2 linked regions of the Stegostoma tigrinum genome follow. The protein of the gene in region 2 interacts with the protein of the main gene of each other region in a biochemical or structural test. Links are inferred from orthologs where the notes say so. Each region holds a gene or a part of one and is shown on either strand. Other genes may lie near its edges.

Evidence for each region.
Region 1: of the proteins of mitogen-activated protein kinase 12-like (region 2) and serine protease HTRA2, mitochondrial-like, one has a biochemical effect on the other in vitro, tested with the Homo sapiens proteins (2 studies listed by BioGRID and IntAct, with this or other methods). The link is inferred for Stegostoma tigrinum from reciprocal best matches to the Homo sapiens genes MAPK12 and HTRA2.

What each region holds. Positions count from the first base shown.
Region 1 is NC_081354.1:188,104,161-188,111,165, forward strand, and holds the start of serine protease HTRA2, mitochondrial-like, read left to right. Parts: upstream 1-3,952; 5' UTR 3,953-3,969; coding exon 3,970-4,367; intron 4,368-7,005.
Region 2 is NC_081378.1:27,509,402-27,517,293, reverse strand, and holds the start of mitogen-activated protein kinase 12-like, read right to left. Parts: upstream 3,076-7,892; 5' UTR 2,699-3,075; coding exon 2,586-2,698; intron 2,275-2,585; coding exon 2,145-2,274; intron 1-2,144. UniProt on the Homo sapiens protein: Serine/threonine kinase which acts as an essential component of the MAP kinase signal transduction pathway.

The sequences.
Region 1 (7,005 bases), on a different chromosome or scaffold from region 2:
CACCCTCCTTGTTCCTCATAGGTCCAACCCTATCCTTCACTAATCTTTCACTATTAATATGCTTGAAGAACACATTACTATTTGTTTTAGTTCCATTCTTACTTACTCTCAGGCCTCCTTATTCCAGCCTTAGCTGGTTCACGTCATATTTGTCAGCCCAGCACCCCATTTTGTCGCATGTGAACACAGACAGCTTCACTATCTGAGAATTCACGACTGGTGCTGAACATTTTGCAACCTTATGATGAAGGAAGGTCTTTGATGTGGCGGCTGAAGATGGTTGGGCCTGAGACTCTACCCTGAGGAACTCCTGCAGAGATGTCCTGGGGCTGAGATGATTGACCTCCCACAACCACAACCAGATTCCTATGAGTCAGGTATGACTCCCCAAGGCACGGGCATGATGCAAAACTCCCCACTGACTGAGACCGAAGAACGCGTAAGAAACACGACTCCAAAAGCCTGATTGGCATCATATTCAACATTCACTCCCTCCACCATTGATGCAGTTAGGCAGCATCTTGGACAGATTCTTAATGTGTAAGGGAATTGAGGATTACAGGAAATGGTACCAAAGTGGGGTTCAGAATTATCAGATCGGCCATGATCTCATTTAATGGGGGGAGCAGACTCGATGGGCTGAATGGCTCCTATCTCTTATCATATGGTCAGTGTGCAAGATGCACTGCAGCAATTTACCCAAGATGGACAGCACCTTCCAAACCCATGACCACTTCAGTCTAGATGGACAAGGGTAGCAAATACATGGGAACACCATTCCCTTCAAGTTCCCTTCCAAGCCTCTCACCATCCTGACTGACAGTCATAGAGCCGAACAGCAAAGAAGCCAGTCCAAACCATCTGTGCCAACTAGACATCTCAATGTGACCCTGTTCCATTTGCCAGCATTTGGCCCATATCCGTCTACACCCTTCCTGTTCATGTCTCCATCCAGATGCCTTTTAAATGTTGTAACTGTACCAGCCTCCACCACTTCCTCTGGCAGCTCATTCCATACACGCACCACCGTCTGCGTGAAAATGTTGCCCCTTTTAAATCCTTCCCCTCTACGTTAAACCTATGCCCCTCTGGTTTTGAACTCCCCCCCCTACCCTGGGGGAAAGAGGTTGTCTATTCACCCTGTCCATGCCCCGGGGAAATATATCACCGTTCCTTCACTGTCACTGAGACAAAATCCTGGAAATCCCCCCCAACAAGGGCAGGGGGACTGCAGGTCATCAAGAAGGCAGCTCACATTCACTACCTTCTCACGGGGCAACTAGGCACAGGGCAATAAATGGTCCCACAGATGATGATGCTCATATTGTGTGAGGGAATAAAAAATAATTTTACTCCAAGTGGGGGTGTTGGTTTGGAAAGTGAAAGACGTGGGACCAGTGATCCATTGTCTCCTCTGCCTAACCCTGTTATCCTATAACCCTGACCCTGTTATCCTATAACCCTGACCCTGTTACCCTATTACCCCGACCCTGTTACCCTATTACCCTGACCCGGTTACCCTATCACCCTGACCCTGTTACCCTATCACCCTGACCCTGTTACCCTATTACCCTGACCCTGTTATCCTATTACCCTGACCCTGTTACCCTATTACCCTGACCCTGTTATCCTATAACCCTGACCCTGTTACTCTATCACCCTGACCCTGTTACCCTATTACCCTGACCCTGTTACCCTATTACCCTGACCCTGCTACCCTATCACCCTAACCCTGTTGCCCTATTACCCTGACCCTGTTACCCTATAACCCTAACCCTGTTACCCTATCACCCTAGCCCTACCACCCTATCACCCTAACCCTGTTACCCTATTACTCTGACCCTGTTACCCTATCACCCTGACCCGGTTATCCTATCACCCTGATCCTGTTACCCTAACCCTGCTATCCTATCACCCTAACCCTGTTGCCCTATTACCCTGACCCTGTTACCCTATTACCCTAACCCTGCTACCCTATCACCCTAACCCTACCACCCTATCACCCTAACCCTGTTGCCCTATTACCGTGACTCTGTTACCCTATAACCCTAACCCTGTTACCCTATCACCTTAACCCTATTATCCTGACCCTGTTACCCTGACCCTGTTACCCTATTACCCTAACCGTGCTACCCTATCACCCTAACCCTATCACCCTAACCCTGTTGCCCTATTACCCTGACCCTGTTACCCTATAACCCTAACCCTGTTACCCTATCACCTTAACCCTGTTACCCTGACCCTGTTACCCTATCACCCTAACCCTGCTACCCTATCACCCTAACCCTACCACCCTATCACCCTAACCCTGTTGCCCTATTACCCTGACTCTGTTACCCTATAACCCTAACCCTGTTACCCTATCACCTTAACCCTATCACCTAACCCTGTGGCCCTATTACCCTGACCCTGTTACCCTATAACCCTAACCCTGTTACCCTATAGCCTTAACCCTATTACCCTGACCCTGTTACCCTATAACCCTAACCCTGTTACCCTATAGCCTTAACCCTATTACCCTGACCCTGTTACCCTATAACCCTAACCCTGTTACCCTATAGCCTTAACCCTATTACCCTGACCCTGTTACCCTATAACCCTAACCCTGTTACCCTATTACCCTGACCCTGTTATCCTATTACCCTGACCCTGTTACCCTATTACCCTGACCCTGTTATCCTATAACCCTGACCCTGTTACCCTATCACCCTGACCCTGTTACCCTATTACCCTGACCCTGTTACCCTATTACCCTGACCCTGCTACCCTATCACCCTAACCCTGTTGCCCTATTACCCTGACCCTGTTACCCTATAACCCTAACCCTGTTACCCTATCACCCTAGCCCTACCACCCTATCACCCTAACCCTGTTACCCTATTACCCTGACCCTGTTACCCTATCACCCTGACCCGGTTATCCTATCACCCTGATCCTGTTACCCTAACCCTGCTATCCTATCACCCTAACCCTGTTGCCCTATTACCCTGACCCTGTTACCCTATTACCCTAACCCTGCTACCCTATCACCCTAACCCTACCACCCTATCACCCTAACCCTGTTGCCCTATTACCGTGACTCTGTTACCCTATAACCCTAACCCTGTTACCCTATCACCTTAACCCTATTATCCTGACCCTGTTACCCTGACCCTGTTACCCTATCACCCTAACCGTGCTACCCTATCACCCTAACCCTATCACCCTAACCCTGTTGCCCTATTACCCTGACCCTGTTACCCTATAACCCTAACCCTGTTACCCTATCACCTTAACCCTGTTACCCTGACCCTGTTACCCTATCACCCTAACCCTGCTACCCTATCACCCTAACCCTACCACCCTATCACCCTAACCCTGTTGCCCTATTACCCTGACTCTGTTACCCTATAACCCTAACCCTGTTACCCTATCACCTTAACCCTATCACCTAACCCTGTGGCCCTATTACCCTGACCCTGTTACCCTATAACCCTAACCCTGTTACCCTATAGCCTTAACCCTATTACCCTGACCCTGTTACCCTATAACCCTAACCCTGTTACCCTATAGCCTTAACCCTATTACCCTGACCCTGTTACCCTATAACCCTAACCCTGTTACCCTATAGCCTTAACCCTATGACCCTGACCCTGTTACCCTATAACCCTAACCCTGTTACCCTATAGCCTTAACCCTATGACCCTGACCCTGTTACCCTATAACCCTAACCCTGTTACCCTATAGCCTTAACCCTATTACCCTGACCCTGTTACCCTATAACCCTAACCCTGTTACCCTATTAACCTGACCCTATTACCCTATGACCCTGACCCTGTTACCCTAATACCCTGACCCCATTGCCATATAACCTTAACCCTATTACCCTGACCCTGTTACCCTATCACCCTCACTCTATTACCCTGACCCTGTTGCCCTTTGACCCTTCACCTCCACACGGTGTTAATAAAGTTGCTTCTTGTTTCCAAGATGGCGGCGCCCATTGCCCGCTCTCTCCGCTGGTTCGGGCCCGGGCTCCGGGCCTTGGGGACGGGCCGCGGGGGGCAGCCCGGGCTCCGTGCACTGGCGTGTGGGCTCAGGCCCTGGGCCGATGGCGAGGAGCCCGGTGCAGGCTCTAACTCCAAAACCTGGTGGGGCCTGGGCCCCGGGGCGCTGCTGCTGCTACTGTGGCGGGATCGGGAGCGGGAGGCCGAGGCCCGCACAGAGCCCAGGCCGCCCTCACGCCTCGGGCTCCCCGCGCTGTTTCTCCCCCAGGTACAGGCCGCTCGGCCCGTTCCCCCAGACAGTCCCCGCTTCAAGTTCAACTTCATCGCGGATGTGGTGGAGAAAACAGGCCCCGCCGTGGTTTACATCGAGATCCTGGGGAGGTAATTACCGGGGGTGGGGGGGGTGTGGATATGGGGGTCAGAGAGGGTTTGCAGGAGGCATGGGGGGGGTATTAGGGTCAGAGAGGGTGCGTTGGGGGGATATGGGGGTCAGAGAGGGTTTGCAGGAGGCATGGGGGGGGTATTAGGGTCAGAGAGGGTGCGTTGGGGGGATATGGGGGTCAGAGAGGGTTTGCAGGAGGCATGGGGGGGGTATTAGGGTCAGAGAGGGTGCGTTGGGGGGATATGGGGGTCAGAGAGGGTTTGCAGGAGGCATGGGGGGGGTATTAGGGTCAGAGAGGGTGCGTTGGGGGGATATGGGGGTCAGAGAGGGTTTGCAGGAGGCATGGGGGGGGTATTAGGGTCAGAGAGGGTGCGTTGGGGGGATATGGGGGTCAGAGAGGGTTTGCAGGAGGCATGGGGGGGGTATTAGGGTCAGAGAGGGTGCGTTGGGGGGATATGGGGGTCAGAGAGGGTTTGCAGGAGGCATGGGGGAGGTATTAGGGTCAGAGAGGGTGCGTTGGGGGAATATGGGGCATGGGGTTTAGAGAGGGGTATTTGGGGGATATTAGGGCATCGGGGTGATTGTGTACGGGGGATGGGGGAGTGTGGGTTTCGTATGTGGGTTAGAGAGGTTTTGCGGGGGAACATGTGGGGCTCGGAGGGGGAGCGCGGGGGGTAGGACGGGCCTCTCAGAGGGTGTGCAGGGTGGAGGAGTATGGGGGTCAGGGAGGGTGCACGGGGGGAATATGTGGGGGCGCAAGGGGGAGGATGGGGGTCAGAGAGGGTGTGCAGGCGGGTACTGGGGTCAGAGAGGGTGTGCAGAGGGATATATGGAGGTCGGAGGGGGAGTGCAGGGGGGAGGACGCGACTCTGAGAGGACGTTGGGGGGATGAGTCCGGGAGTTGGGGAGGGTGTGCAGAGGGATATATGGGGGTTAGAGACATGTGTCTGTGGGGATATTGCGGCGGTTAAGAAGGCCTGCGGGGTGACTTGGGGTATAAGAGGGTCCTCCAAGCTGATGTGGCGGGGGTGGTGGTGTGGAGAGAGAGAGTCTGCAGGGGCTTATTGAGATATTTACTTGCGGGGGCGGGGGGGGGGCCGGCGGAATCGCTTGGCAGGTGAATTACAAAATGGGAAAATGTGACGTTGTGCGGTTTGGCCGGGGGGATAAGGAGCTGAATACCACTTAAATGGAAAAACACATTTGGAGGTGCTGAGAGAACAACAAACATACCAGGGAGATTAGTCCCCGGAAGCTGAGCACAGGGTTCAGGGCATTTCAGGACAAGGGCGTCGTCGTCTTATGAGGACATGAGGGCCCTTGTTTTACACCGTGAATGGTTTGTGTGTGAAATAAGCTGCCAGAGAAAGTGGTGAATGTGGATACAATTACAACATGTAAAAGACATTTCGATAAGTTCATGAATAGGGAAGGTTTGGTGGGATACGGGCCGGGGCAGGCAGGTGGGACTGGTTTAGTTTGAGATTATGTTCGGCATGGCGTGGTTGGGCCCCAGAGCCTGTTTCCGTGCTGTATGTATCTCAGGACATTGTGGGCAGCTGGGGGAGAAATTGCTGGGCCCCTGGCAGAGATATTTATATCTTTAACAGTCATGGGTGAGGTGCCAGGAGACTGGAGGGTGTTAACAGTGTACTGTGATTTAAGTAAAGATGCAATGAAAAGCCAGAGAACCAGTGAGCCTGGCATCAGTTGTTGAAGGGGATCCTGAGGAACAGGATTTACAGTATTTCGAAAAGCAAGGACTGATCAGGGAAGGCGAGCATGGCTTTGAGTGTGAGCAATTATCTCTCTCAAACTTGAAAGGGTATTTGGGAACCTGAGGGGCACCTTTTTGTACACAGGGGGTGGTACGCATATGGAATGGGCTGGCAGCGGAAGTGGGTGAGACGGGTACATTAACAACATTTGGCAGGCATTTGGACAAACACATGGGCAGGAAAGGCTTAGAAAGGTCTAGTGCAGGGAAATGGGGTTAGCGTGGATAGACTTTTACGTTGGCATGGGCCAGTTTGGGCCAAAGGGCCTGTCTCTGTGCTGCGGGACCCTCTGTCTGTAAGTTGGACTGGTTCGGTTTAAGAAGGCTGGTCAGCATGGAGGAGTTTCACAGAAGGGCCTGTCTCTGTGCTGTATGCCGCTGACTGTAAGATAGGCTATAGAACAGAGCAGCAACAGGGACTGTTCTGTGTTATGAGGTTGTGTGTATACTCACTGGAATTTAGGTGAGTGCGAGGCAAATATGCAAGATTGCTCAAGGACTCGACAGCGTAGATGTGGAAAGGTTGGTTCCCCTTGGGGAGGGTCTGGGACCCGACGGTGTCGTTGCAGAATAAATAGTTGCACGTTTAAGACAGAATTTCTTGTGAAGGTAGTGAATCTGTGGAATTCTTAACCGTAGATGGCTGTTGAGCTTGGGTCATGAAGTACATTCCAGCTGAGATGGACAGATGGTTGATCAGTGAGGGAGTCAAGGGGTGGGGGGTAAAGGGAGGAAGGTGGGGGTGAGGATTATCAGAACAGCCATGATCTCATTGAGTGGTGGAGCAGACTCAGTGGGCTGAATGGCCTATCTTATGGTTGAGAAGGAGAGGAAAGGGGCTTAGTTGATGTATGATGGGT
Region 2 (7,892 bases):
GCTGAACCCACAGATGTAATCCAACAATTCACATGACACCTACAGAATATGTAAACATTAAAAACGATGAAATTATCCAGAAATGTTTGAAGTATTATGCATAGGAAGAAAGCGGCTGATAAATTACTTATTGATGAGATGGTTAATAACATGGTTGACCATTATCTAGGATATTATTAGGCTTTGTACTCAGTACACTGTTCATTGAAGAGTTGAATTTTGCGTCGAAGTGCTATCTATCACTGCAGCCAGACAATACTTTGAGCACTACAATACAACAGAAATAAGTACTTGAACAAAGGAGATGGCGCAAAGAAGTGTTGGGTCTTTGACCCCCAACCTATGAGGAATACTGTAGAAGCACAAACTTTGCACCCCCTAAAGATGACAGCATGTAAAAGTGAACAATATAGAAAAAGGAAGCCTGGAACATGAGCGCCTAAGCCATGAGACACTTTGGCATGATATTTGGAATTTAATCACATGAAAATATAGACTTATAAGTTGATTGGCAGAGGGAAGAACCCAGGAATGATTCAATATATTTTGGGTTGAGATGCTGACTGTGGATTCATTCAAGTTGGATAGATGGAGTACCACCCTTACTGGTCTCACTGATTAAGGGGAGGTGGTGAGGTAATACTAAGGTTACTGTATTAGTAATCTAGAACACTAGGCTAGAAGGTCTGGGGACATACATTCAGATTCAACCTCTGCAGATGATGAAATTCAGATTCAATAAACAAACTGAAATTTAAAAAGATAGCCTAATGCTGGCCAAGTAGCTACGTCAATTTTCAAAAATAACTCCACCTGGTTCGCCAATGTCCATGAAGAAAGGAATCTGCCATCCTTACTGGGCCTGGCTTACTTGTAACTCCAGATCCACAGCAATATGGTTATAGAGTCAGAGAGTTATACAGCATGGAAACAGACCTTCAGTCCAACCAGTCTATGCCAACCATAATTGCAAACTAAACTAGTCCCACCTGCCTGCGCTTGGCACATATCCCTCCAAACATTTCTTATTCATATACTTAGCTAAATACCTATTAAATATTGTAATTGTAGCCGCATCCATCACTTCCTCTTGAAGTTCATCCACACACGAACCATTCTCTGTGTAATAAAAAGCCCCTCATTTTTTTGTTTAAATCATTCTCCTCTCACCTTAAAAATAATGCTTTGTCTTGAAATCTGCCACCCTACGGAAAAGATGCCTCCCATTCTCCTTATCTATAGCCCTTATGATTTTATAAACCTTTATAAAGGTTGCCCCTCAACCTCCTGTGAAAAAAGTCCCAGCATATCCAGCTTCACCTTATAATTCAAATACTCCATTCCTGGTAATATCCTAGCAAATCTCTTCAGAACCCTCTTCAGCTTAGTAATATATTTCCTATAACAGGGAGGCCAGGGAGCACAGTACTCCAGAAGAGGCCTCATCAACATTCTGTGTAAACTTCAACATAATAGCCCAACATCTATACTCAAAAGTCCGAGCAATGCCTTCTTAACCGCCTTACATACATGTGATACAAACCTCAAAGAAGTATGTCTATGAACCCCTCGGTCTCTCTGTTCTACAACTACCTGAGGCCCTGGTTTTAAATGTGTAAGCAAGTTAACTCTTAACTACCCCCAGAAGAGTCTGAAGTCATCTTGCTGGACAAGAAACATTAAGTCTGATTTCCACTGATGCTACCAGACTTGTTCAGTTTCTCTAATATTCTCTGTATTTGCCACAGCAACGTGTATGACTCTCCACTGCTCTCTGGGCAATTAGGGATGGGCAATAAATGTTAGTCTATCCACGAAGAAAACAAAAATCTGATGACTTTGTTCCGTTTTCCCTTCCTCTCATCCATTACATTACTCCTCCCCTTCCTCAAATCGTTATGGGTAGCTAGCACTTACACACGGTCAACAATGGAATGAAAAATTGACCAGCAAAATCAAAACAGGATTATATAAGCAAACAAAGATTATTTAAGGCGTTTATTTTTCCAGAGATAAAACTAACAACCCTCCCATTTTATAAGGTGATATCGAAAATCGAAGATAAGAAATCTATTACAGTAGTGCAACTTCAATAAAACCCTGGTGTCACCATGTTTATACTTTTGAAATGATCATTCACTCACATTCTCGTGTTTCATGTGTTTCAATAGGCGAAGTTCCCGGTAAGCTCGTTTAGCAAATAACTCGGATTGAAAAGGTCGGTATAATTTCTTGATTGCTACTTTAGTGCCAGTTCGATTATCGATGGCTGAGCTGTGGGTCAAAAAAAAAATCAGAGATTGGTAAGAATGCATTTAGTGGCAAATATATCGCGAGTACACAATAACATATGGCAAGTTTTTTTTTGAGAACCCGGAAGAGCTGTGGGCCAGTTCACGACTTTTTCAGTTCACTCATTGTATTTAAATACATAGCGTTCGTTGAACGTGTATGTTTATGTGTATGTGTGTGCTTTTAAGCGTCAGATGAGGTGAAGAAATCATGTTGCCCATCACAGGGCAATTTTAAAAAAACTATCCGATCTCTTAAAACGAAACTGGGTAAGGAGATAAGATCCCACTTACCAAACACTTCCATAGGCTCCTGAGCCTACAGCAGCCAGCTCTGTGTATCTCTCCAGTACTTCCCAGGCTGTTTTATTAATCTCCTGGTAAGAGAAACCCTTTCTCGTTGTCATCGTAGCAATTTGGGACCCGCTCAGAATTATCCGAACAAGACGCTAGAAGCAAAAGTGTTAGTTTCTTCTACTTTTGTTTTCGTCCCAAAAGCCGCGAGTTTCAGAGCGCTGACCTCAGCTCCTTCACCCACCTTAAAACTGAGCTGAACGTGTTGAACTGGATGCTTTCATTGACTATCAATGAGTACAACTCTAGAGTAACTTAGAATAGTTCCCCTTTGTTCGGATTAGTGTGACTACTAGCTTCCTCTCTGTCTTTACTCCCTCTCTCTTTTCCCCCCTTCTGTAATATTCAATCGTTAGCTTCAAAGAAAAATCTTTGAACTTTATAAATCACGTGTTTGATCAGTATTTGCAGTGAGGTTGGTGTTTCGGGCGCTTTGAGTAAACATTGTCTATTGCCAGCAGCTGGATTGGAGACTGCCATCGCATGGAAGTAGTCGATCATAACAAGCCAGCTGCAAATGCTATTGCCAGAAACGGGGGGGGGCTGCAGAGAAAGTGAGATCTGCAGATGCTGGAGTCAGAGGTAATAGTGGGGAGTTAGATGAACACAGCTGGCCTGGCAGCATCAGAGGAACAGGAAAGCTGATGTTTCGGTCAGGACCCTTTGGTCAACTTTCCTGCTCCTCTTGTGCTGCCTGGTCTGCTGTGTTCCTCCAGCTCCACACTAAGATGCCGAAATCCAAGGTCGACAAGCAGGAGGCTGGAAGAACTCGGCAAGCCACGCAGCATCTGGAGGAAAGCAGGAGTCAATGTTTTGGGTATCACCCTTTGGTCCTGAAGCAGGGTAATATCTGAAATGTTGACTTCTTTCCTCCAGATGCTGCTTGGCTCACTGTGTTCTCCCAAACACCTGTTTTGTACACCAAATTCTACTGTCGCTGTGAACATTTTATAGAGGCTTCATAGCATCAAGTATTTCTGTAAACAGTATTAGAGTTGGTGATCAGTGCCACTTAAAACCAAAGTTTAAGTAGCACTATTCCTCATGTAAAATTTTTCCTCAACCTCCTCTCCACTGTTGATGTCCTGCTTTCTAATAAAGTCAGAATTCCAGTACTGCAAGATGGCTAGACGTGAAAGGATAAGGCTGACAACTTGTTTAGCCGTCAAGCATCAGCTATTTGGCTGGACCACCTAACAGTATGGAATCCTAGTCTTGGAAATCTGCTCCAGGGTTGTCCTGGAATTGAAGGATAATCTGTGGTTGCTTTTCTTGACTGCAGGCAATCTTCCTGCCTCTATCCTGTCTGCTCACCCTCACCAACAATGTCATGGAAGGACCTCGTGGAGGTCTGACACTCCGACTGACACAATCTCCTTATCTGGTGCTGCTGTCTCACTGCCTCCCACTACTCCAACTGACCAAACATCCTATAATACCCTCATGCCCTGATCCTGAATTCTCACTTTCTCTAGTCTCTTGATCACCCATAGTGTTTCCTGATCTCACTTTATTGATCAGACTCCCCTCCTCTTTCCTCAATCTTATTCCCACTAAACTGCTGATCAGCCAGTTTCCCCTCCTTGTTCCTTCCATCAGCAGATGTTGTAATTGTGATCAGGTAGCATAACGTTGACTTACTTCTAATGTCCTTTTTTTTCCTAATCCTATTGGCAGTTCGTTTCTCTCCAGTCAGTCAAATACCTTATGATATCATCACCTTCTATGTGGACCTTTTTTCAATGGATGGATGGAGATGCTAGGTTGCAGTGTCATCAGTTGAAAATCAGTATCTTTATGTGCCAACTTTCTCAAAGGAAATAACTAATGGAGAACATAAGCATTCAAAAAGCAGGACTTGCATTTGTACAGCATCTTTTACAACCTCTGGATGATCCTAACCATTTCAGACATCAAAAATATATTTTCATTTGGTCATGGGATATGGGTGCTACTTGCAAGGATGGCATTTCTTGCTTATTTCTAATTGCTCAGAGGGCATCTAGGGGCCTGCCACATTCCTATGGTCTGGAGTCATGTGTGCTAGATCAGGCAGGGATGGCAGATTTCCTTCCCCAATGGACATTAGTCAGCCAGATGGGGTTTTTATAACAATTGACAGTGTTATCGGATCATTGTTAGACCTAGCTTGTTATTCCTCATATAAAAGTATTGGATTTGAAGTTCACCATTTGTGATAGTGGGGATTCAAATCCATGCCCTTGGAATAGTGGTCGGGGGTTCTGGATTACTAAACCAGTTATATTACCAACCTCACCTCCGTAACCATTAACATGTAGAACACGGCAGCCTGTTTTTGCACAAACTGCAATCTGATCAGGAACAGACGATCTGTTTTTGTGATGTTCGTTGAGAAATAAAAATTAACCTGATCACCGGAGATAATTTTTTTGAAATAGTGCTGTGGGATCTTTCAAATCTACTTGAGACCAGAAGGCACCATGGTTTGATAAAATGTGAGGCTGGATGAACACAGCAGGCCAAGCAGCATCTCAGGAGCACAAAAGCTGACGTTTCGGGCCTAGACCCTTCATCAGAGAGGGGGATGGGGAGAGGGAACTGGAATGAAAAATTTTATTCCAGTTCCCTCTCCCCATCCCCCTCTCTGATGAAGGGTTTAGGCCCGAAACGTCAGCTTTTGTGCTCCTGAGATGCTGCTTGGCCTGCTGTGTTCATCCAGCCTCACATTTTATCATCTTGGAATTCTCCAGCATCTGCAGTTCCCATTATCTCAGGCACCATGGTTTAATGCCTCAATAGTAAGGCAGCATTAACGTGTATCACACTTCATTTTTACGAGCTCTAGGAGTGACGTTTGAACCAACAACTTGCTGAGCCTAAAGACAAAATGAAACTTAAGATTTCATGACAATGCAGGAAGACGGTACAAATAAATGTTATTTTCTGGGGAAAAAAATGTTTTTGGATTTTTGAACACAAGGAATTTTTTAATTTTCAAGGACGATGCTTTATTGCACATAATCCAACAGCGATTGCTGCTTTTTCTTTTTTTTTGTCACCTCAGTGCTTTGTTCCAGGCACAGCTGCCTAGTTACTCAATCTGAAGGTAGCTGTCTGATACAAGTATCACAGTTACCTGTAAACTTCTATGTCTCAGATTGGCCATGACTCTGACCCAGTTTTAATTGGAGCAAGAGGAGTGGTACTCAGTTACCCAAGCCACACCTCGTTAGAATTTACATTAAAACTGCATCTTCAGGGGCACTGCTAACATAATTAATAGGTGTGCAGTTCAATCATATGAAAAGATTCTAAAATAAGTAACAGAGTCCCAACCACTCCAAAGGGAAACCTCCCCGGCTGAGTCATAGTACAATCATCAGTGTCGCAGGTGTTCCATTCCCTGTGGTGACCACTGGTTGGAAAGGCTTCAATGGATGCTAGCCCCTGGGACCAGCAGTAATCACTACTACCTTCTAAGTAGCAGCTATGGGATTTAGAGCTGAGTAGACAGTCAATGGCATGTTCTACAATAATTAGATACAATTAAAGTCTACACCTTGGCAAAGAAACAATCTCAATGTGCATGATAGATGATTTGAAAACAAGAAATGTACCAACATATCATTGTGCAAAATAAAAGGTGCCTTTCATTTGAGTTCTAAGTTTCGTTTTTATGGTGTTTTATTTTCTAAAATAACCTGTAACTGTCAAAGATTAAGGGACTAAATTGCATAGCTTCCTTTATAAATGAATAAAATGTTTTTTAGTGCCAACAGAGCTAAGGGCATTCCACAGAAGGAGGGACAAAAACATTCCACAGAAATTGAGATGAGGTATAAAACGGTTGTATAATTTCCCAATGGTCAACCATTAGCATTCAGTAGTTTTCATGTTGTGAAAGTCTCACCACTGTTAATGCAGCTTCAGACTTGTACATCATGTAACACCAAATAATCTGAACAAAACTGTCACAAAATCACCAGCTTGACCTCCACAATACATTTTGTAAAAGTATACACACCTGTGATGTCAAATTTGTGACTTCATCTCCAGTTTCAGATGGCGTTTGTGTAAGGCACTATTGCTTTGATCTCAGATCTTGTATTCCATTTTATTTTAATCGTTCAAGATTCCCATCACTAGAACTGACTTCTGTTTTTCTCCATGTACCAATGTGTGAAATATCTTGTTTCTGAACTAAACCTAGGCATGCAAAATCCAACACTGGGCATCTCCAAAAGGCTGCAACTACCTTCTTTATCATATTTCTAGTCCAAGGAGGAAAGTGTCATTGCTTTCCTCCAGCCAGGGGAATGAGATCGATTTTTAAGAGAATCGAACATCAGGAGGGAAGGTTTCCAGGACCAATGAGCATAGCCTTCTATGTGTTAAAAGGACAAGGAGAAATCCAGGCTAAAAATAATAGGAGTCTTCGGAGTATTGATGTACAGAGAGATGTGGATGTGCAGGCCCACGGATCATTAAAGGCAGGTAGATAAGGTAGTTAAAAAGGCCTATGGCATGCATGCCTTCATTGGGAGGGGCATTGAGTAGAAGGATAGACAAGTTATGTTGCAGCTTTACAGACCTTCAGTTAAGCCACACTTGGAATATTGCGGAGAGTTCTGGTCGCCACACGACCAGAAGGATATGGATACTTTGGAGAGGGTACAGAAAAGGTTTGCCAGGATGTTGCCTGGCATAGGGGATTTTTGCTATGAAGAAAAGTTGGATAGGCTGGGTTTGTTTTCGCTAGAGTGCAGGAGGTTGAGGGGTGACCTGAAAGTAGTTTAAAAGAGTGTGAATGGCATAAATGGAGTGGAAAAATGACACGTTTTTCCAGGGTGGAGGGGTCAGTTTCTAGGGGACACAAGTTCAAGGTGTTGGGAGAAGTTCAAGTCAGATGTGCGAGACATTTTTTTTTCCAACAAAGGGTGGTGAGTGCCTGGAACGCGCCGGTGGGAGCATACAAGGAGGACCCGGACAAATACGTGAATAGGAAGGGAATAGAGAGATAGTTTGGAAGGGCAGAATGTGGCACAGGCTTGGAGAGCTTAAGGGCCTGTTCCCATGCTGTAATATTCTTTGTCTAACTAACTAGGAGAGGGCTACCTCTAATGGGATGAGAATGGCCCAGATACATCGGAATCAAAGAATAGCAGACACAATTTTGTGGAACAATGGGTCACCTTTAAATAGGAGAAAGTTGGAATATGGTCAGATACATTCCCATTGGGGGAAAGGTGGGGATAAATCCAGAGA